Linked DNA regions of Styela clava. Each later gene encodes a partner of the first gene's protein in a complex. Links are inferred from orthologs where the notes say so. Each region holds a gene or a part of one and is shown on either strand. Other genes may lie near its edges.

Evidence for each region. The genes of interacting proteins can lie anywhere in the genome.
Region 2: ruvB-like 1 (region 1) and histone acetyltransferase KAT5-like share a complex: the UniProt entries of both Homo sapiens proteins name them as parts of the SWR1-like complex. The link is inferred for Styela clava from reciprocal best matches to the Homo sapiens genes RUVBL1 and KAT5.
Region 3: ruvB-like 1 (region 1) and uncharacterized protein LOC144421013 share a complex: the UniProt entries of both Homo sapiens proteins name them as parts of the PAQosome complex. The link is inferred for Styela clava from reciprocal best matches to the Homo sapiens genes RUVBL1 and PFDN6.

What each region holds. Positions count from the first base shown.
Region 1 is NC_135256.1:5,659,091-5,666,720, reverse strand, and holds the start of ruvB-like 1, read right to left. Parts: upstream 3,027-7,630; 5' UTR 2,915-3,026; coding exon 2,774-2,914; intron 577-2,773; coding exon 448-576; intron 1-447. Other genes in the region: uncharacterized protein LOC120328125, read right to left, coding at 6,024-6,219, 6,562-6,714. UniProt on the Homo sapiens protein: Possesses single-stranded DNA-stimulated ATPase and ATP-dependent DNA helicase (3' to 5') activity; hexamerization is thought to be critical for ATP hydrolysis and adjacent subunits in the ring-like structure contribute to the ATPase activity.
Region 2 is NC_135257.1:5,468,857-5,476,657, forward strand, and holds the start of histone acetyltransferase KAT5-like, read right to left. Parts: upstream 3,007-7,801; 5' UTR 2,590-3,006; coding exon 2,572-2,589; intron 1,662-2,571; coding exon 1,598-1,661; intron 1,004-1,597; coding exon 935-1,003; intron 728-934; coding exon 588-727; intron 417-587; coding exon 318-416; intron 1-317. UniProt on the Homo sapiens protein: Catalytic subunit of the NuA4 histone acetyltransferase complex, a multiprotein complex involved in transcriptional activation of select genes principally by acetylation of nucleosomal histones H2A and H4.
Region 3 is NC_135252.1:15,383,321-15,388,893, forward strand, and holds uncharacterized protein LOC144421013, read right to left. Parts: upstream 1,035-5,573; 5' UTR 1,030-1,034; coding exon 646-1,029; 3' UTR 510-645; downstream 1-509. Other genes in the region: uncharacterized protein LOC120343245, read right to left, coding at 1-509; chaperone Ric-8A-like, read right to left, coding at 2,240-3,943. UniProt on the Homo sapiens protein: Binds specifically to cytosolic chaperonin (c-CPN) and transfers target proteins to it. Binds to nascent polypeptide chain and promotes folding in an environment in which there are many competing pathways for nonnative proteins.

The DNA of each region.
Region 1 (7,630 bases):
GGGATTGGGGTGAAAAATAAGTTTTTGACAGATTTCTAAATGCAATTCTGTAAGTTTTTCTTCCGGTTTAAATAAGATAAATTACTTGGAGTAAGATCAGAAGATAAGTACAATACTCATTTTGATTTCCCTGGAACATAAAACCATGCAAAACAACACAATAAACACACACTAAATTGAGAAAATCGGGAAAACTGGCAAAACCTCATTTAAGGTTTATTAAAACACGTAGAAACACATGTGTATACCCATATTACACACACAAACAAATATCTTAAAAAATATAAAAAACACAAATGCGTGTCGCTCGGGCATCTAACTTTGGTAACATAAACACACTGCAGACACGGGGATTCCAATTTAAAACTGCTTATATAAGATAGATACTGACTATATCCAATTTGAATTTAGTCCTTTGTAAGACATTACTGCAAAGCAAGAACAAACCTTGTTTCCAAGTTCTTGTGCGATGGCCAAAGCAAGAGCTGTTTTCCCAGTTCCAGGCGGTCCAGCTAGCAGAATTCCTCGTCCAGCCATTTTCTTACTTCTAATCAACTCCACAACAATGCCGCATGCCTGAAAGAAATCAAGTATGACAATATAATAGCAGAATGATGGTTTTGTATCAGCATATGTCAGTACGACACAGTTCGATGATTTCAAGAATAGATTGAACGACATCAATTATAACAGTGATTGCGAAGCCATCCTGAGCCTCCATATTGGCAAAAATCAACAAACAGGCACTGCGCAACAAACTAAAAGGAAGTGCAATCTGAAAATGTTACCATTGAAATCCTCGAAAAAAAAATAATGTGATTTACTGAAGGAAAACAAATTGTATCGTAGCATTCATGAGTTTTTAGCAAAAAACGCAATTTTGGTCATACTGCGATGTGACGGCCGAGGCACTTCGCGATTCATTTATGATTGAGATAAGCATGGCGCAATCTGACGTTGTGCCAGATGTCCTCGTTTCAGAGACAAATTGAGTTTTGTCTTATTGAACCAAATGTCCGGACAGAATCGGAAGACTGTGCCCGACTGTACCAGCAGAGAGAGTTTTTGACACTGCAAACCTTGCTAACCATTGAACCACCTGGTCACGGAGACTGTGATATAGCTAAACTTCAGTCTTCTCAATAAACCCATAGATCCAATATATACCGTAAAAGCGCCTAACTTCGGACAGTTTCTAACTTCGGACAAAATTTTTGAACGGCCATATCTTGGCTAAAACGCGCCGTATATTGCTAATTTTAATTATTATAGGTTGCGCTGTTATATCTACATCTATTCTCATCTTTTTTAATGTTGCATAAATATTTTTTTGGTGAAAAAACGGAAATTTTGCCGAAAATTGACTGCCCGGCATTCAACGGCGCAGAGCGTCGCTCATACTGAAGCTATCGTCGTCAAAATACCATCATTCGGTAGAGGGCGACAACAATGTATATAATTTATTTGAGTGATCGCAAGATGTCGTATGAGATTTAAATAAAACCTAAAATTCTGAATTATAAATTCCGTAAGAATATTAAGATTTCACGCAGCGTCAAAATTACGTCAACCTCACGTAGATTATTTTTCGCTCACTTCCGACACGACGTCACACTGCGTCGTGGAAATGAATTTTGACGCCAGACACAACGGAGCCAATATGACAATTTCCGTTAAGATAAAGACGGCATTCCAATGTAATATTTTTGTATTTTGTTCGGTCATGTATAAATATATGCCAAAATTACATTAATGAAAATACATGTCACACTTAATCGATGACGTTAGGAATCGAATATATAAAACTATGATAATTCCAACGTCCATATGGTACAGTGCACTGACTTAACCATTATTTTATGATTAGTAGTCGAAATGACAGTTATTGAATACGGCCTGGGTGAATTTTATTCACTCGAAATTAAAAATAAATTTAATCTCCAACAAATAAACGGGACCTACATGTTTACAAGATTAAGTTGAATTTCAAATTAAACTTTACAATCGGATTTACCGTGTGTTTGATATAAATTATCATTTATAAAGATAACCGCGCAGAATAAAAAAAAGCTATCCGTCGAGAATATTAATACTTCAAAGACTTCGATAGAAGCCCGTTGAAATACTTCATTGGGGATTGAAACGGTTTGCATCAGATATATTTACGTATGCATTTCCTGATTAAAATGACCATCGTGTTATTATACTCATCTGAAGTATCGAAAATAACGAACGAAAGATGTAAACATAGGACGACAGAAGTTTCAGATAATGCATTTTCGTCGTGATGTCAATGTTACGTTACGACGACGATCGAGCGTCTTATCTTCACGCAACGACGTGATTTCGCCATCCGCATCGGAAGCCTCTTTCTCTCTGTGCATCGCGGTTACGCAGTGAAGAAAATGACTGTCCGAAGTTAGGGCAGTGAAGGATAACGGTCAGATGGCAAGAAATATCGATTATTTTAATAGTAAAAATAGTCCAATTGAACCGAAATTTACAGGGAATGTAAATTATCCGCACGAATGTTTTACCGAGCAATTTTGGCACCGTTTGGACAATAAATGGCCGAGTTATTGACAAAAATATAGTAATTTTGTCCGAAGTTAGGCGCTTTTACGGTAACCAAAGTCATCAATTGCTACTTGTTCAGAGCCTTATTTACAGTAAAGATAACACTTAGATAACAGGCAATCGCAGAACAAATAAATGAAAAGATATTGTTGGAATTGCAGTAATAATTAGCAATGTGCGAATAAAAATATTTTACCTCTCTGGCATCTTCTTGGCCAACGAGACCCGATCCTGTCTGAAGAGGTTTACCGTCATCTGATAATCCCAGTCCTTTGACATGAGTATGCGCTGCAATCCGCTGTGTCTTTGTAGTACTCTTAACCTCCTCAATTTTCATATTATATGATTTATGTTATCAAAATTTGCTTGAATTATAGACAGAGCCAGAACGCGGAACAAGGAAACGACGCTTTACAAAGTGAGCATTGAAGAAATACAAGCGTGCGCCCGTTGACGAAGCCAGCCAAGCATGTCGTGATTTATTGCGTTATTAGCAACCGAAGAAATTTCTAGTCTTCTCATTACCAATATATTTAATTCTAATTATTAAAAAAACTTCTAAACATTTTTCTTATCCGTAATGAACAATTTTAAAATACAGAAATCTTTGTAAACTGATTGGCCTGATATCTTTATTGTTTTATCGTATTTTTGTGATCGCTGATGTGTCTTGACGGGAAATCGAAATAGTGTAACCTCATTCTGATCTCAACTTCACTTATAAGTTATAAGTTATAAGTTTATTTCGACTCCATAATCAGCAATAGACGATAAAAAAATATATAAAAACAAAAGTAAAAGTAACTGATTATAGAATCGGGAAAGCGAACAAAACCTAAAACTTCTGCTCAAATGAGCCGTTATATAGAATAAATAAAACATCAAGTCCAAAGTGTACATTTTGTGATATGCAAAACAAAACAAAACTTCTGCTCAAATGAGCCGTTATATAGAATAAATAAAACACCAAGTCCAAAGTGTACATTTTGTGATATGCATGTCGAAACTGTGTTACCATTATTTTATTTCTGTGAATCTGTGCAGTAATTTTGGGTGATAGTTATGGCTAAACTTTGAGTATGGATTGAACCTTAAAATTTGAAACATAATGAAATTGTATTGGGGGTATCCAATAATAATATTAATAATAAAAAAACTTTTTTGAAAATCAATAAGTCTTTTTTGTAAATTAATGGGAAAATAACGAACAAAGTAAAAAGCCTTCTCCGTAGTAAAAGAGCTTCGCAAAACAACGTTATCTGCAATAGCAGAATTTCGGTTTATTCCCAATTGGAATGACCCCACTACGGATGCCAATAATGTTGATTTTTCTTCTATTATAGGTTTTTGTTATCTTTCGAATTTAGAAGATTTGAACGAGCGACTAATTAGTATAAAATGAGATAATGCATTTAAACTTATTTTGAAGGTTTTGTTCATTTCCCAGATTCTTCAAATGTGTTTCGTTTTATTTTAGCGAATCTGCATTGAAATAGATCAGGGATGGCGAACCACTGACCCGCGGGTCACAAAGTGACCCACTGCGTTTTATTTGTGACCCGCCAAGCGAAGGCACGAATAAAATTAAAAAAAATGCTAACATATCAGTGATAAAAATTGATAAAACCGGCCTTAAATTAATCTAACAATAGCTAAACTATTATAATGTACCGTCAATTGGACAGTCAGGAAGGGCTGCGATCGCTCAAGTTCAAAATGTTGATTTTTGGGCCGGTATGGTAATTTTCAAAACCCCTAATCTTGTACGCATGTATGCACCGCTGTGTACCGTTATTCAGCTATTGGGCCTGACATCGTTTATGACATAACAATGCAATTGATCTGTTCATTTCTCGCAACGCCTGTCTTTTTTGGAATTGCATCTGCAGACTGTTTTAGGGGTTATACGAGAACTAGATGCTACTTTGCATTTTATTAGTTTCTCGTCTACAATGCTGTTGTGAAAACAAAAACTTTCAGTCTTGAAATAAAAATCTAGAAATCTGATGAAACAATGGGGCAGTGTAAAAGTGGCTTAATGTGGTTGAAAGCTGATCGAAAATTATAACGCTATCAAAGCGGAATTACCTCCAAACACTAGAACCGTAGAATAATTTAACGCATCATCCTAAACGTTTTCGTGTTTTCGTACTCTAATATCATAAAACCGAGTGCCATGAAAAGTCCCTGATAGAAGTGCTGCATAAGTAAAGCCCAAAACTACACCAACACCAGCTTATAAGATTTGTTTCAGAAGTTTCTTATAGATACAAACGTGAATTAAATATCTGTGACCCACTCTCTTCTGTTCCACGATAAAATTATAATTTTTGACCCATTCATTGAAAAAGGTTCGCCATCCCTGAAATAGATCATCTAAAAACCTACGGTATCCCTGACTGAACGCTGATTGAGGTAAAAATTTCAATACTCCCCTGTCTAAACACCATCAAAGAATGCAACATAAAGATTAGCTACCATGTTTTGTTATATCAATCATTTTCTTTGCATAACTGTATATATGATGCATCTCACCATCTGGTATATATGATGGGATACAGAACTATCGCTATACGCGCCATCGGCTGGAAACAGGACGAGAGGTTGAAAATATTATTAAGCTCGGCGGTGAGGCGTAATGTGCTAAGCGTTAGGAGTACGCTTGCCACGGCACAGCACCTCTGATTACCCTGCGTAGGTTCGCATCCCGTGGGTGATAATTATGTGGGAGAGGGTTGCTGGACTCCTCGAGGGCATAGGGTGGTTCACGTAACCGCTGGTCGGATTCCTCCACCAAGTTCATGCATCTGGAAGCAAAATAACTGGCTAACTAATTCCATACCTGACATTGGCGCGGCGGTGTGGCTCAACGGGCTAAGCGTTAGGAATACGCTGGCCACCGCACCTCTAATTACTCTGCGTGGGTTCACAGGTTCGAATCCCATGCAGGGATGGTTATGTGCGAGAGGATTGCTGGACTCCTCGCCGTCGTTGGGTGGTTCACGTAACCGCTGGTCGGTTACGGCTTCATCCACCACCAAGTCCATGCTTCCGAAAACAAACAATACAGTAAAACTAATCCCATACCCGACTTGGAATGGTAACCGGACGAGAGGCCGTGGTTCGTCATATAGATAAGCCGTCTTATCGGCTTTCCTCTCCCCGGGATAAATATGTAAATCCTATCCTATGGACTGGTAACCGGACCTGACATCGTGGTTAACCATATGATTAAGTTGTCTTAACGGCTTTCCCCCTGCCCGGATTAAATATGTAAACCCTAAGCCGCCTTGTTAGCTTTCCTGTCCTCTGGACGAATATCAGAATGGTGCTCATTTATAGAAACAAACGTCTTACATATTTTTTACCTGTTTGCGTATATATTATATTCATCTACATTCAATACCAGCATCGAAAAATAAAAGCAAAACGTTAAAAAACTCGAATTAGATTTCGTAAATATTTAAATGAATCTTTGAAAATTTCTTTGGTTCGACTGTTTCATCTCGACATAAAATATCATCTTTTCCATCTCCGTTTGCATCAACGACGTAAACTTTCCAATTACTATCAACACAAAGATTGCCGATCATCACCGGATCTTTGGGTTCTCCACGTCGAATTGGGAAGAGTATCATGTCTCTGAAAAAAGTTTTTTATTTGAGAGACATAAATAATGTTCTTTTTCAATTCTTCCAAAATTATCATTCATTTGTGTGTTGGGAGAATTTAAAAAACTTAACACATAAGGACACAAAATAAGGTGTGATCATAATTATATCTCGTCCTGCTTCCAGTATAAAATGGGTTGTGATCTATTTCAGTGTTTCACAACCTAAATATGTAAATCCTCTCCTAGCCTAAAGGTTGGGAGCCACTGACCTATTCTCTACCACCACAGGATCAATAACCAGGCGTGGGACTGTGGTCAACATTTCACAATGAATAAATGGAATTTCATCTTTAATCCAAGACACCACTTACGTTTCGACACCATCTACTGCAACACATAGGACATCAGTTGTTCCATCTCCATCAAAATCTCCAGTGTGTAAACTTTTTAAAATGCAATTATGTAACTTCCCTTCCCAAGATATTTTATCAAGTCTGTTGCCTCGGCCGGCTAGTACTATCTTTCTGAAATAACAATGATTAGTTATCAATATTATTACAGTTTGGTTGAACAACATGATTCTAAATATGTTGAAAGTACAAGACTGCATCTCTATCTACAAGACTCTATGAATAATTTTATTGGCACTCCAGAAGTATGTTTACCAATATGGATATAACTAATTTTGTTCGCCTACTTTACATCAAGTTGTGTAAAGGGACTGAAGCCTATGGACAGGTGAGGGGGTATATTCTATTGGCTCACACATACAGTCCCGGAACTTCGCAGGGTCTTCCTATCTCTAGAAAAATAACGTTTTTAAACCTTCAACGAAAGCGAAGATTAGACTTAGATTGCAGAATGTCAGAGACGTGAGGCATTGCTTACAATCTGAATATTTTATGCCGCAAATGAATTTTTTTTAAGCAGTTCCATTTCCACAATCAACTTTGATTTCCATAATTATCGAATAGATATTGTGGGCCTGAATGCTTTATGTAGTTGAATAGAAGCTCACTTTGAAATTTCAATAGACACTAGGAAGGAAGGTTTGACTAGAGCTTGTGTCGGAATTGATTTAACTGAACCCGGGTTGAAGAAAAAATTCTTGATAACACTTATCTGGGACTCATTTTTTGAATGGCTTGAAGTCGGAATTGGATGAAACTTGTCTTTGACTCTACTGTCCCGATTCACATATTCATCTCGGGGCGAGGGAAGCCGATAAGACTGCTTAATCATATGGCGAACCACAATCTATCGTCCATGTCGGATATGGAATAAGTCAGTCAGTTATTTGTTTTCGGAAGCATGGACAGGATGGTGGAAGTAGCCGCAATCGACCAGTGGTTACGTGAACCACCCTGCAGAGGCAAGGAGTTCAGCAATACTCTCGCACATAACTAAATGGGATTCAAACCTGCAATCCTCGCAGAGTAA
Region 2 (7,801 bases), on another chromosome or scaffold:
GCCGTTCATCCATGAGCACTGGTTTGGAAATAAATTTGCTCAGCCACAAAAAAAATCGCTCACACAGAAGATTCAGCGCTCCCGTAGTATGTGCAACAAGATGGCAGACACCTGAACATAGTATGTGTACGAGGTTAGGGTTAGGCCATAATTTTATTCCAATTTTCCTTATTTTAGTTATATTACAAGTTCGGGGACTAGCCAAGTGACTCCTGTAGTATTTGTACCTGAAATTATGGCCTAACCCTGATACACATACTACGTTCCGGTGTCTGCCATCTTGTTGCCCATACTACGGGAGTACCAAAGATTCTTACCTCTTCTGGTCCCATTTCAGGTCCTTTTCTCTTTCTTCCTATCTTTGGCATCTTTTTAATTGCTGCCGTAACTTTTGAAGGATGCGCAGTTCCATTTTGCTGAAAAAGAAATCACAAACTTGAACTGAGAGAAAAATTGAAAAGCAGCAAACAGCATTCCCATCCTCACGTTTCACATTCACACAAAAGTTCAGAAACAGTAGTCGAGCATAGAATGCCCACAAAAGCAACATTCGATTATCTATTTGTATTCCATTAAAAAGTACTTACAACAACAATTTCCCTATCAGGACTATTATGGACAGAGTCACTGCTTCTTTTGGTTCCTATTTTTGTATCTTTCTTTGGAAATTGAATCTTTGACATGTCAAGTCGTTCTGCAGCAACCCACTCATCCAATCTTTTATTAACTATCAAAAATGAAAAGATATTATGAAATTTCCATTCACTCCTACATAGTAAAAATGCAACTATATAGGTCAGCTGTTATTTTCCAGATAATTGAGGAAAAAATCTATTGATGAACATAGATGGAACTTAATATTTCTATATATGTACATAGTATTAGAATAATGCATCAGCCAGTCATGCAATGTTGATATTTACACAAAACTTACAGTCAATATAGTGAACATAATATTCAAATTTGTTGTTAACATCTCGAATACTGAGAACTTCTGCCAGATCTGAAATACAAATAGAGACATTTAAAAAGGGTTGCAACTTACTCATACACACTTTATGAAAGAAGAGAAAACATTATGAAAAAATATCATAGTGCCCTATATACACTGTAAAAGTTTAAATGCGGGAGGTTTATCAAGCTTTGGAATGAAATGACAAATCAAGACTCAGAATATTTTGAAAAATAGTTCTTCGCCAAAATCTGCTGGACTAAAAAGTGATTAAATCAAAATAGATAACATAATATTTTATCACCAATATTGAAACTTGTATTTTGTACCAATGTTTTTAGGTATAGAATTGATATACAAACTTTTCGCGCCACACATGTTTTGCCTCGTGGACCTTTTCAACCAGATTTGAGAGTTGTCCAAAAATAATAATATAATATATAAATACATGTAGATGCAGTGAATAAATTTATGAATGTTTGTGTAAGTCATTACTCAAATCGTCATAATGCCATCTGATTGGGAAGGTCCGAGGAGTGAAAGTCTGAGGCAAAAAGTTTGTAGGCTATTCAACTTCAAGTGTAATCAGCATAATATTATAGTGTTACTGAATTTAAATAACATCCAATTAAAAAAATATCTTACGCCACTCAAATTGACCCTCCAGGTCTCTCTGAACAGGCATTCGACAGCCTTCGATAACACCAGCCTTTAAAAAAATAGTATTGATTAATATTTAGATACGAGAAGCTTATTGAAAACTTTGATCACAAAACTCAATTCATTTTTAAGTAACTTTAGTCAATCCAGACCATCAGATGATTGGAATACAGCATGGTTTCTCAAACTTTTTGAGCGGCGGACCCCTATTTGTTTATCTTAGTTTTGATGAATCCTATACTGTATACTGTATCAATTTCTGTGCCTAACCAACGAAAAAGGATAATGTTTCATTTACAGCACAAACGGCATTAATGTCTGTAATTTGCTGATGTGATGGATGAAGTTGCGTTTCACTGCACAATTCAGCAATTTATCGATTCTCGGAGCAATTTGTGACGAGCAAGTTCGTAGATCCGACTCTAGGGCAAGTCTCGACCTGTATTTTGTCATCATATTGGTAAGAGCTGAAAATACTGCCACACATGTCTGCATGTAGGTCTTTGCAAAAGGCAATATGACCTTTAATTGCCTTTTCTAACAGCAATATGCGTACGCAGCGTTCAACCAAGTGCAATGGCTTTTTCTTTGACATCAATCCTTAACGATCAGACTCTTGTCATGTCATTGTGAACCCCCTGTGCAGTCATCACGGACTCCCAGGGGTCCGCGAACCCCAGTTTGGGAAACCCTGGAATACAGGACTATCTGACCATGAATATACTTATAAGAGTAAACAGGGTCCGTTCATAAGAAAGGATAGAAATATGCAATGTGCTGAAGTTTTCTCGAACACGTTTGAGACTGAATAGAATTTACTAATTATGGTACCAGTAACGTTACAGCAGTACAGGTAATATCGTAAACTGTACAGGTATGATTCAAATGTTGAACTTCAACATTTGGATTATAAAGCTAACTCCTAAATATACCAGTACCGTAAATAAATACAACCATACCTTCATTCCTTGTGACATATTCCGTACGACGCCGTTCCAATATCGCTCTAGGCTACTTGTTTTTAACCGGTGCGACCAGCGATGCAGTTATTATGAAACTGCTTCGGGAAAACACCACTTTATATATCGCTGTCACGTGAATACCTCGACATGGATAATTCGGCATTATCGGGTAAGATTTACAAAACAAAAGAGAGAGAGAGAGAGGAAATTTTTTGATTCGTCAACCAAAACAAATATAAATGGAAAATATAAAAATTGTACAAATCCTACCGGTGCTGTAAGCGCGAACTCAACTAACCCACCGTATTACATTTCCGGAACGTCTTTTGGAAAACAACACTTTATAACGTTTGTACTTAGGTCCTCCATATGAATAACTCGTCTAAAACAGGATCATGAGTTATTCGTCTTTCAATACCACATTCACAGCGAAAATAATTATCCTAAACGACTCTGATAGGATGTGGTTCAACCTTTACGATTACGAGCCTGTCGAACGCCTACGATATTCTGCGAGCCTCCCGAACCCCTGCGATATTCTGCGAGCCCCCGTCGAACCCCAACTTTGGAATCCGAAAGATAATAAGTCAAAAACGTTAGCAGCTCAAGTCATTCGTTTTCAAACTGCATTGAAATATTGGATAATAGCTTTTGTCAAATGGTTCACAGAAATAGAAATACTATATATACGTATACCGTGTTTTCCCGAAAATAAGACAGGGTCTTGTTTCAATTTTCTTTCGAAAAATAACACTAGGGCCTATTTCGGGGGGTGTCTTCCATTTTCATATATTCGAGTTTTCGCGAATTGCCTCCCAGATTGGTTACGTCCGATCTGAAATATTCTGGCCTCACCATAAATAGTTGCTCTATAAATACATTTGATTCTTTTTTTTTCCCGAAATAGATACTTATCTAAAGATTTGTTCCAAGAAAAGAAATATAAATATTTATTATAAAGTATGTTGCAACATGTACATTATAGCGAAATTTCAAATCCAAAAATGAACCAATATATATATACCGGGAGGAGTGCACCATCATGGTTTGATTAATTGATTGGAAAAAATAAACTTGACTTGACCTAAACACTTTAGATGAAATTTTACTTTGAGAAAAATAAACAGAGACAACACTTGAATTTATTTCATTTGAATTGATTTATTTTTACAAAATTAGTACAGTATATATATATGAGCAGTGGCGGCGCGTCAATAGGGCCAACCGGGGCAATGCCCCGGTTGTTTTTTCGGTATAATAAAAAATATTCGAAAAATACCTCAATATCGGTTGCACAGACTGTCTACACTAGCCATATTCTCCCGACATGGTTCATTTTTCGCTCGCAAAGCCTTCGCCGAACGTCGACGGGGCGACGCCGATTTTGCCCCGGTTGCTCATTGTATATCGTATTCTCTCTTTTATCTTCCACTCGCCGCGTTTGTCTCGTTTGTTTTTCTGTTTCTTTTACTAAATCATCGGGGCCGATCGGGGCTAGCCCCGAAATTATGACGACACAATGCCGACGTTTCTTACTACAACGTGTTGACATATTCACGCATTCCTTCTCGTTCGTTGGTTGCTTGAAGAGTTGATAGTTTCCTCGCCTTCGTTTTTGTCGCTTGTTTCGCTATTTGAATCAGTTAGAGACCTTTAGTCCATTTGCTTTCGATTTTCCACATTCCTTTTGAGCTCCTCACTTCTTTCCGGCTTCGCATTTCTTAGCCTTAGACCTCATAATGAATAAGGTTGATGCACTACTTCGCACTCCGTTTTCGCAGCTGCCGCTGGAACAAAAATTAGAGGTACAACGTCAACGTATTGGGCCTTATCAACCAAAAAATTGTTCACTGGAACAATCCCATGACGGAGGAAAGCGTCGGCGTACATTCTGCGCAGAAACTTGGTATAAAAAACACGAATGGTTGTGTTACAGCGAGGACAAAAATGCACTTTTTGGTTTTTATTGCCTACTTTTTGCTACCGCCCGTGACTCACGTTGGTGTAAATTTGGTTTTAGAGATCTTAAACATCTTTCCGAGCGTGCCAGGGATCATCAATCTTCTATGGAGCATCTGGACAATGCAGTAAAATACCGAACATTCGGAAATGTTAATATTGCAGCACAGTTGGATGAAGGACGCGCGGTTTCTATTCGTCGGCACAACCAAAACGTCGAGAAAAACCGCCATGTTCTCGGTCGATTGATAGATGTTTTGAAGTTCATTGGTTGTCACGAGCTGTCCCTCCGTGGGCACGGTGAACGGGCTGGCTCTTCTAATAGAGGGGTATTTTTGGATATGGTGGAATACACCGCATCCCTAGATACAGTATTGAGAGATCATCTTGATGCCGCAACTGTTTCGAAAGGGACATCTAAGGATATCCAAAATGTTTGCTCGACTCAATGTATAAAATTTATTTACAACATTTGGCTCTGGAAATTGAGAATTGCCAGTTCCTTTCGATTCAGTCCGACGAGACAACTGACATCACGTGCGTTTCCCAACTGGCTGTGATTTTTCGGTTTGTGAAAGATGGTAAACCTACCGAGAGATTTCACAGCTTTGTACCAATCGTTGATCGCACGGCTTGCGGGATATCGGCTGTACTGAAAGAAGTGTTACAGCCTTACAACGCGAAGTCAAAATTGATAGCTCAAACTTATGACGGCGCGGCAGTCATGAGTGGGTCGAAACATGGTGTTCAAGTTTATATAAAAGAAGATTTTCCTCATGCGCATTTTTTACATTGTTATGCACACCCATTTAACCTCGTTATTAAAAATATGTGTCTTGATACCCCTCTCGTCCGTATATTTTTAGCAAATGTTTCGGGGTTTTCTTCATTTTTTTCCGTTTCGCCGAAGCGCTCTGACCTCCTTCGCCAGATATGTAGCCGCCGTCTCCCAGCTTGTGCACCAACACGTTGGAACTTCCAATCACGCGTGGTGCAGGGCGTGTCCGAAATTAGGTCTGAGCTCATTGAGTGTTTCAATGGCATTCAGAGCTCTCCGGTTTGGGACGAACGCTCTGTGAGGGAGGCGGCAGGTCTAAAGCGTCTGCTAGAAGATGGTGAGTTTTCATTTTTTTCTCCACAATATTCTATCACGTGGATGTATTATACGGCGCATTGCAGTCAAGGCTAATGGATGGAGCGTCTGTGCAGTCGTGTATTTCAGACTTCTGCGATGCTGTATCTCGTATCCGGGAAACAATAAAATACGACGACACATGGAGTGCTTCTTTACGCGCGGGCAAACAACGCAGCGTTTGATTTTGTCTGCAAAGGAATGCTGTGACATTCTGGTGAATCAAATAGGCGATCGTCTGCGCACTGGACACCTTGCCGTGTTCTCTTTGATGAACCCCAAAAAATTTTCAAAATTTGCACGTCAATTTTCCATCCATTTGTTGGCTACTGTCTCCAAATGTTACCCCATGATAAACGTGGGTAAATTGGAAAATGAATTGCGATGTATATACATCAATCAAACTTTTTTGAACATCACATCAACTTGCGCGCTCTATAGGTTCCTCATAGATAACACTCTAGTAACTACCTTTGCGGCGTCTGCAAAATTTCTGGACATCTTTTTGACGACGCCTATTTCTTCCGCCGACGCAGAGCGAACATTCAGCACGCTGAAGCATATTAAAACGTATCTCAGAAACACAATGAAGCAAGATAGATTAAATTCCTTGGCTGTTTTATCCATTCACAGAGACGTTATTTCTGGGATGCATGACTTTAATCAGCGCGTTATTGAGCATTTTGCTTCCAAGAAACCGCGGCGTGTTGCATATATGTTCAAGCAGTAGAAGCCTAGCAGCATATATATCTATGAGTGAGCGACGCATGTCCTTATCTTTGCATTAACTTTCCTTTCTTCATAGTAACGTTTTAAACCTTATTTTAGGTTTTGTCTGCTTTCCCGAAGTTTCTGTTAATATGTCATTGTATTTATCTGGGTAAATATTGCCTTTCCTTTTGAATAAGGTTTCAAAATAAACTATGTCTATATTTATTAATCCCTTGACTTGGACCGGTTTTGCTCATCCTGTCCCCGTAGATGGGGGTGACTTGGTCCCGCAGTAGCTTGCCCCGGTTGTCAAAATGACCACGCGCCGCCACTGTATATGAGGTATTCTACTAGAAGGCTCTCTAATAAATTCAAACCATCAATTCAGGACGATATTGTTTTAATCGAAGAAATGGATATGTTTTTCGGCAACATTATGTATTTTTGTCAGCTTACACAAGAAGTTGGCGGCGGCGGTGTGGCTCAACGGGCTAAGCGTTAGGAATACGCTCGCCACCGCACCTCTAATTACTCTGCGTGGGTTCGCAGGTTCGAATCCCATGCAGGGATGGTTATGTGCGAGAGGATTGCTGGACTCCTCGCCGTCGTTGGGTGGTTCACGTAACCGCTGGTCGGTTACGGCTTCCTCCACCACCAAGTCCATGCTTCCGAAAACAAACAATACAGTAAAAACTAATCCCATACCCGACTTGGAATGGTAACCGGACGAGAGGCCGTGGTTCGCCATATGGATAAGCCGTCTTATCGGCTTTCCTCTCCCCCGGGATAAATATGTAAATCCTATCCTATCCTAAGTTTACGGCGTAAAAAATGATGCATGGAATGCGTTTAAAATAAGTATACGCCCAAATAGGAATTGGATATTTCATACTACGAGTGTCAGACAAACCGAAACTTGCAAATCTTCTTCATCCATATCATTTAGAAGCAAAAAATATGTAAATATATATATACCATATGCAAATTGTAAAGGTTCAGGCTAAAGTTGCATCATTGATAAATCAATAGATTCGGTTAGCCTACCTTAATCCCTAATTTAGATGTTCATATTAACTAGGATGTGCGCAGTGAAAACAAGTTAGTACTCATGTACGTGAAAAACAATTCATTAGAAAACAATTTATTAGTCTCATGTTTCCAACTTGACGGTTCTTGGACTTCTTGACGACGGTTTCAACAAAAAATGGTCATGCATCCCAGCTCAACGTTTTCACCGATTCATTCACAAGCTGCACTCGTGAAATTTTCGATGCAAACATTCGTAAACACGATTTTGGGTTTTCGGGCGTGAGTCAGTTGTTTTTATTTTGTGTTCTAGCAGATCAAAATGAACAACACTGCTTTAATTAACTCCGGTCGGACGTGTTTCATTCTATCCTCGATCCAGTCATGAATCCTTGCCCA
Region 3 (5,573 bases), on another chromosome or scaffold:
AAATTTTCTTTGTTGTTAGCAGAAGCTTTTTCTTCAATGAGGTATTGCTCTACAATAATTCTTGCCATTAAACAAGGTGGAATTTCGAAATCATTTGCAATACCAATCAATACAGATTTGCCATTTACATCAGAAGAACCACTGTCAGTGCCATTCGAAACCGCTTCTTTTCCATTGCACAATTTTGCAATTTCACTTGAGGTTTGTTCTATATTTTGTGCGGGTAATTTGTTACTTTTCACTACATTTTGTTTATGATTCATTTGATGTGAGATATTCATTCGTTCTTTATATAATTTGTAATAATATTTCAATTTCTCTTCTTTCATTTTTGAGTGGTACGTCATTTTCACTTTTCGTTGCAAACAGGTCAAAAATATACTCATTAGTGTATGATATTGATATTGAGACCCAAAGTTTGAAATAACATTAGAGAGAACTGTTCTTGGACAATTAGATTTGTGGTAATTGATAAAGTCAAAGATTGTGCTGTATTCTTCCAGCCTCATTCTTCAAATAGATTGAATTTGAAGATTTCTAGCAGCAAACACAAAAAATTTATAATTGAAAAAAAAAATGTGGTTGTAAGCCAAATTGGATATATTTCACTACAAATTTATTTCAGTTTTAAAATTATCCTGTTTACTATGCTACTTGTTTTCCAGTTGGCTTTGGAAGCGAAGCTTGAATTTTCATTAATGCTTGTCTTGTTGTCTCTTGTTTCTTTTCCAAATCCTCAATTGTTTTCTCTTGTCTTTTAAATTCCTCTGTAATATAATCAACTCGTTTTTTCACATTCGCTTTTGCTTCATTCAAATCCTGCTTCACCAATACAGGACCTGTAAGCTTATAAACAGTGGCATCACTTTCAAGAATATCCAACTCTTTTTGTACGAGAGTATTCTCTGTAAGTTGAGCTTCAAGCTGTTGTCGTAGTTTCACACACTTGCCAATAGCTTTTTGATTTTTTTGCAATTCAGAAACGTGACTTTGAAATTCTAGCTGTACTTTTTTATTAACTTTTTCCATCCTGCTATAATATCACAAAAATACAAAAAAGATACGTTACATGAAGAACATGTGGAAGCTATATATACATAAATGTAGAAAATATTGATGAAAAACAGCAAAACATCTGAATATATTGAATATAATGAAAATAAGTCATAACATCACAATATAGCCATTTCGAAAAGACTGCACATTTAAATAACCCCATAAAGTGAAATATCATCCTTCGATAAGTTATTTTTTTAACTGATGGCGAGCTTGACTGTAATCTTTGTCCATGTTGTTCTATTGAGCAATTTGTAAAATGAGTAATTTGAAACTTCAAACAATGATACAACACATAAACATAAAAAAAAAAAAAAACTTAATGACTCCCATGGACAATAATCTCTACTAGGCAAAAACGAATGATCAAACAACACCTTACAAAAGAATAGGTTATAACTGTATACAAAATATAGCAAAAAATCTTGCCAACTTATACATATCATGATTGTATTTTGCAGAAGCTGGCTAATATACAGAAATTAACATTGTGTAAGATATGTCAGAATTTAGTTCTTAATCTAATATCGCAACAAAATGCAAATACTCGATGCACTACACAGAATTCTAGTACTCCATATAGCTTAAAAAGCATTTTTCTAGGAAAGTTGGTAGCATACGTGACGCATTAATTGACTTAATATATTGCAAGAAATGACATGAATATTATTTTGAAACAACTGTCAGAGAAAATTTTTTTATTCAAATAATAAAACTAAATTCATAAGAAACGATTACTAAAACAGACATGATTCCCTCAAAACAAATAACTTGGTGAATGCAGCATAAAATTTCATTAAACATAGAATTACAAAAGAGAAAACGGGCAACAGACGGGCACAATTACATATATGCATTAAAAAATGTACAGACTTGAAATATGTTTTTACAAATATAGCAATTTGCTTCAAAACTATCACAGTTAAAGCTGGACTAAGATACAGGAATGCCTCCAAGGTGCCAATGGTTGGCATATCAGCCTCAAAAGATAGTGTCCAAAATTTTATTCGAGGTTAGTTTTGCATTTCACACAACATAAGTTTTACCCAGGATATAATAATAAAGACAAATTATTCTCAAATAATGAACTTCCATTCCTATCGCAATATTTTGTTAGTTATTTAAAGGAAGATGAGTTCAGAAAATTTGCTGCAAAAGCTTATATTATGTCAATCTGTAATCTTCAATCAATGTCTTCATCAGAATCTTTCTCTTCTGGTAATTGCATATTGTGGACTTTTTGTTGAAAAGGAACCAGATTACCAGTATCTGGATCGATACATACAGGTTTGATAATATCATCACTTGACAATTTCGAAATCTGATTTGCTAATTGAACAGCAAGATATTCTTTCTGTTCTTCCGACATACCTTCCATCGGATTGGGAATATTAGGTGGAATGTGACCAGTAATGGGGTTAATTTTCTCTGCATTTTCTAAATATTCTTCTGTGTCAGAGTCAGAATCACAATCAGAATAAACAGTGTCTCCCTGGCCTCCTGCGAGTAACCCCCTGCTTGCAAGCAATCCCGCAGCATTTCCATAACCAGTGTATTTAACAAGTCTCTCCACCTTCTCTCTGCACAAGACAAATACAAAATCAGCAGCAGCCGCTTTTACTTCTGTGTTAGCATGTGTGAAAAGCTTTATCAATTTATTACGAAATTCTGGTCCAACTTCAGGACGATGCTCAAAATCCTTACGTGGTGGGATAACGTAATTCTTGCAATATTTTCTGACATATCTTGATGTACGACTGATGTGGCTCAGCAGTGAAAGAACAGGTTGCAAGCTTTCAGTTGTCAATGACTTATTGTGAATCTTCAATTCAACTTCTTTTAAAATATTCAAAACAGCACTGAGATCTCTTTCCTCCCATTGCGGGATGTCTTCGCCATTGTATGAAAACACATCATCAGGGTCATACTTGTCAATTAAAGGAATTATCGTATCATCAAGTAAACAAGACCTGGGCACAGTGTATAAACAATTTCCTGCGTCACCATGTAATTTCTCCGTCAAAACTTTGTCATCACCTGCTTGAACCAAATACAATTTACGACAAACTGATGTCAAATCTTCAAATTCAATAGTAATTCTTTCTTCCTTTACTTGACTTTCTTCATGCCGATATTTCAGATTCAAATTGAACAGTGTTCTTAATATTTCACAACAGGATTTTGCATGTGCAGGAGAAATACTAGCTCTGATACATGGCGTAGGTTTAACAACTCTTTTTGATGATGTCAATTTCGAATTCAAATAATCCAACAAGACTCGGCTACCCTCGTGGTTTTCAATAATCTTTGTTCTTGCTTGCACATTGAGCACAGAAACGAGAAACAGCAATCGAAGTGTTAAAAATTCAACTTCAGTATCATTTGATTCATCTTTGGGATCCAGAGATTTCAAACGTTGCAAAATGCCTTTTATAAGTTCATCGTCGCAACAATAACCTTGCGAATCTTTTGAAATGAACATGATATTGCATAGACATTTACTAGCAAGTGTAAACAGTATCTTAGACGTTTCGATGACCGTCATTGCCTTCCCATTTTTATCCAGTAATCCAGCAATCACTGTCAATATCTTCCATGTTTCTCGATTCAAAAATCTTCCATTCATTGACATATGATCTCTAGACATTACGACTAGAGCAGAAAGGCTTTCCACCACATATTCAGATTCTGAGGTGCTTTCACCATCCAGAGAAGACTTTAAAATATCCAATAAATGTGAGACAAATAGTTTTCTTTCTTGCATGTCATTTTTGCCAAAAATGAAAGCGCCACTATTCTTTGCATTGAACTTTTTTAATGCTTCTAATGATTTATCAGTATCATTCTCAGATAATATAGTATTAGGATATCCATTAATAGGTTCCATTGTCAGACTGTGGTTCACACTAAATGAAGGAAATCACTAATACTGTAATAGTATAGTTTAGTACAAGTAATGATCTGAACAGTTGTATATTGAATAATTATGAAAGGAGGATTTCTTAATAATCCTTTCACACATAAGGTATACACCTATTGTGAGAGATAAACAACTTAATTATTCTTTAAACCACTAACCAGAAACACAAAACATAAATAATAGACCAAATGAGTGATTCAAAATAAAATCTTTTATTAATGACTGGGTGGTAAAGAATGAGTTAATCAGATTTTTTCACCACCCAATACATGAATAAGTAATTGAAACTAGTTCAGTACTATTGATCTCTCTATACCAGAATACTGCAATATGTTAAAAGTTATAAGCACCGTACTGCTGGATGAATTTAATCTGACAGAGAAAAATTCTTGAATACCAAGTACAGAACTATTGCGCTATAAACAATGGGGATAAAAATATGTGGTGTGGGGCACGTGGAGTCTAACGAAGTACACGGAGCAAGTTTTTAAATAATGCCAACCAAAAAAAAAAACATGATGTAAAAAAAATAAAGTCCAATATTTATTATTTTTTTATAATAAAAGTAGTCTCGGACAGAAGTTGAGTCAGAACGCTACTGGTATATGGTACTCTATTTCAGTTTACAGTACGACATAGTCTGCCCATACCCTACTGGTATATGATATGGAATATACTGCTGTACTGGCTTAGTTGAAAATCGAGTGGATTTTATTTTAACTAAACGCAGAAACGCATCTGTCAAGTATTTCATTTCCGTCCTAGACAGACTTTAAAAAAAAAATTTCACATCACATTCTGTTTGGGATTATTCAAGCAGTTTCGGTACCAAAGTTACCCCAGCCCACACTCGCTCAGCCCACACTCAGCCTGACGTCAATGGGTCAACCAACTATTTTACCACTTTATAAACGTTAATACATAAAAACTTGGTGGCTATGACAATATAGAGACCATATTGGATATACACAGCGCAAATGCAATACCAAGCACGGACCAGTTACCCCTAGTATGGCCTGTCAAAAACGAGTGTGGGCTAGCGTCTCACGAGTGTGGGCTAGCGTCACACGAGTGTGGGCTGGCATCCTACGAGTGTGGGCTAGCGTCACACGAGTGTGGGCTGGCGTTCTGACAGTGTTATACGGTAAGTTAAGGCATCCTAAACGCTCACAGATTACTAAATTACATATATCCACGTTTACCTCAGCACCAGAACCTCTCAGAGTCCGGCAATTGAAAGCACAAAATGTGGTAGACTAATCCTGTAATCGGAGACTTCATACAAAACCAGCTTGGCCATATTTTTTTAATACGGGAAACTTATTATTTTTTCTTCGCTGCTCACTGTTTAGAAATCAATACCGGTACCGGTACGGTATTCAATTTAACAACGGCAATCGCCTGACCTTTATAAAATACCGGTACCGTAATTACAATCTGAATATATAAAGTGTGTCACGTACTGAAGAACTGTACCGGTACGGTATACAACTAAATAAAAAGATTTTGATAATTTTAAATATACCGGCTGCACCCGTACCGACACCATACGGTAACTCAGTAACTAGCCTCCTCCCACACCAAATAAAAAGGTCCA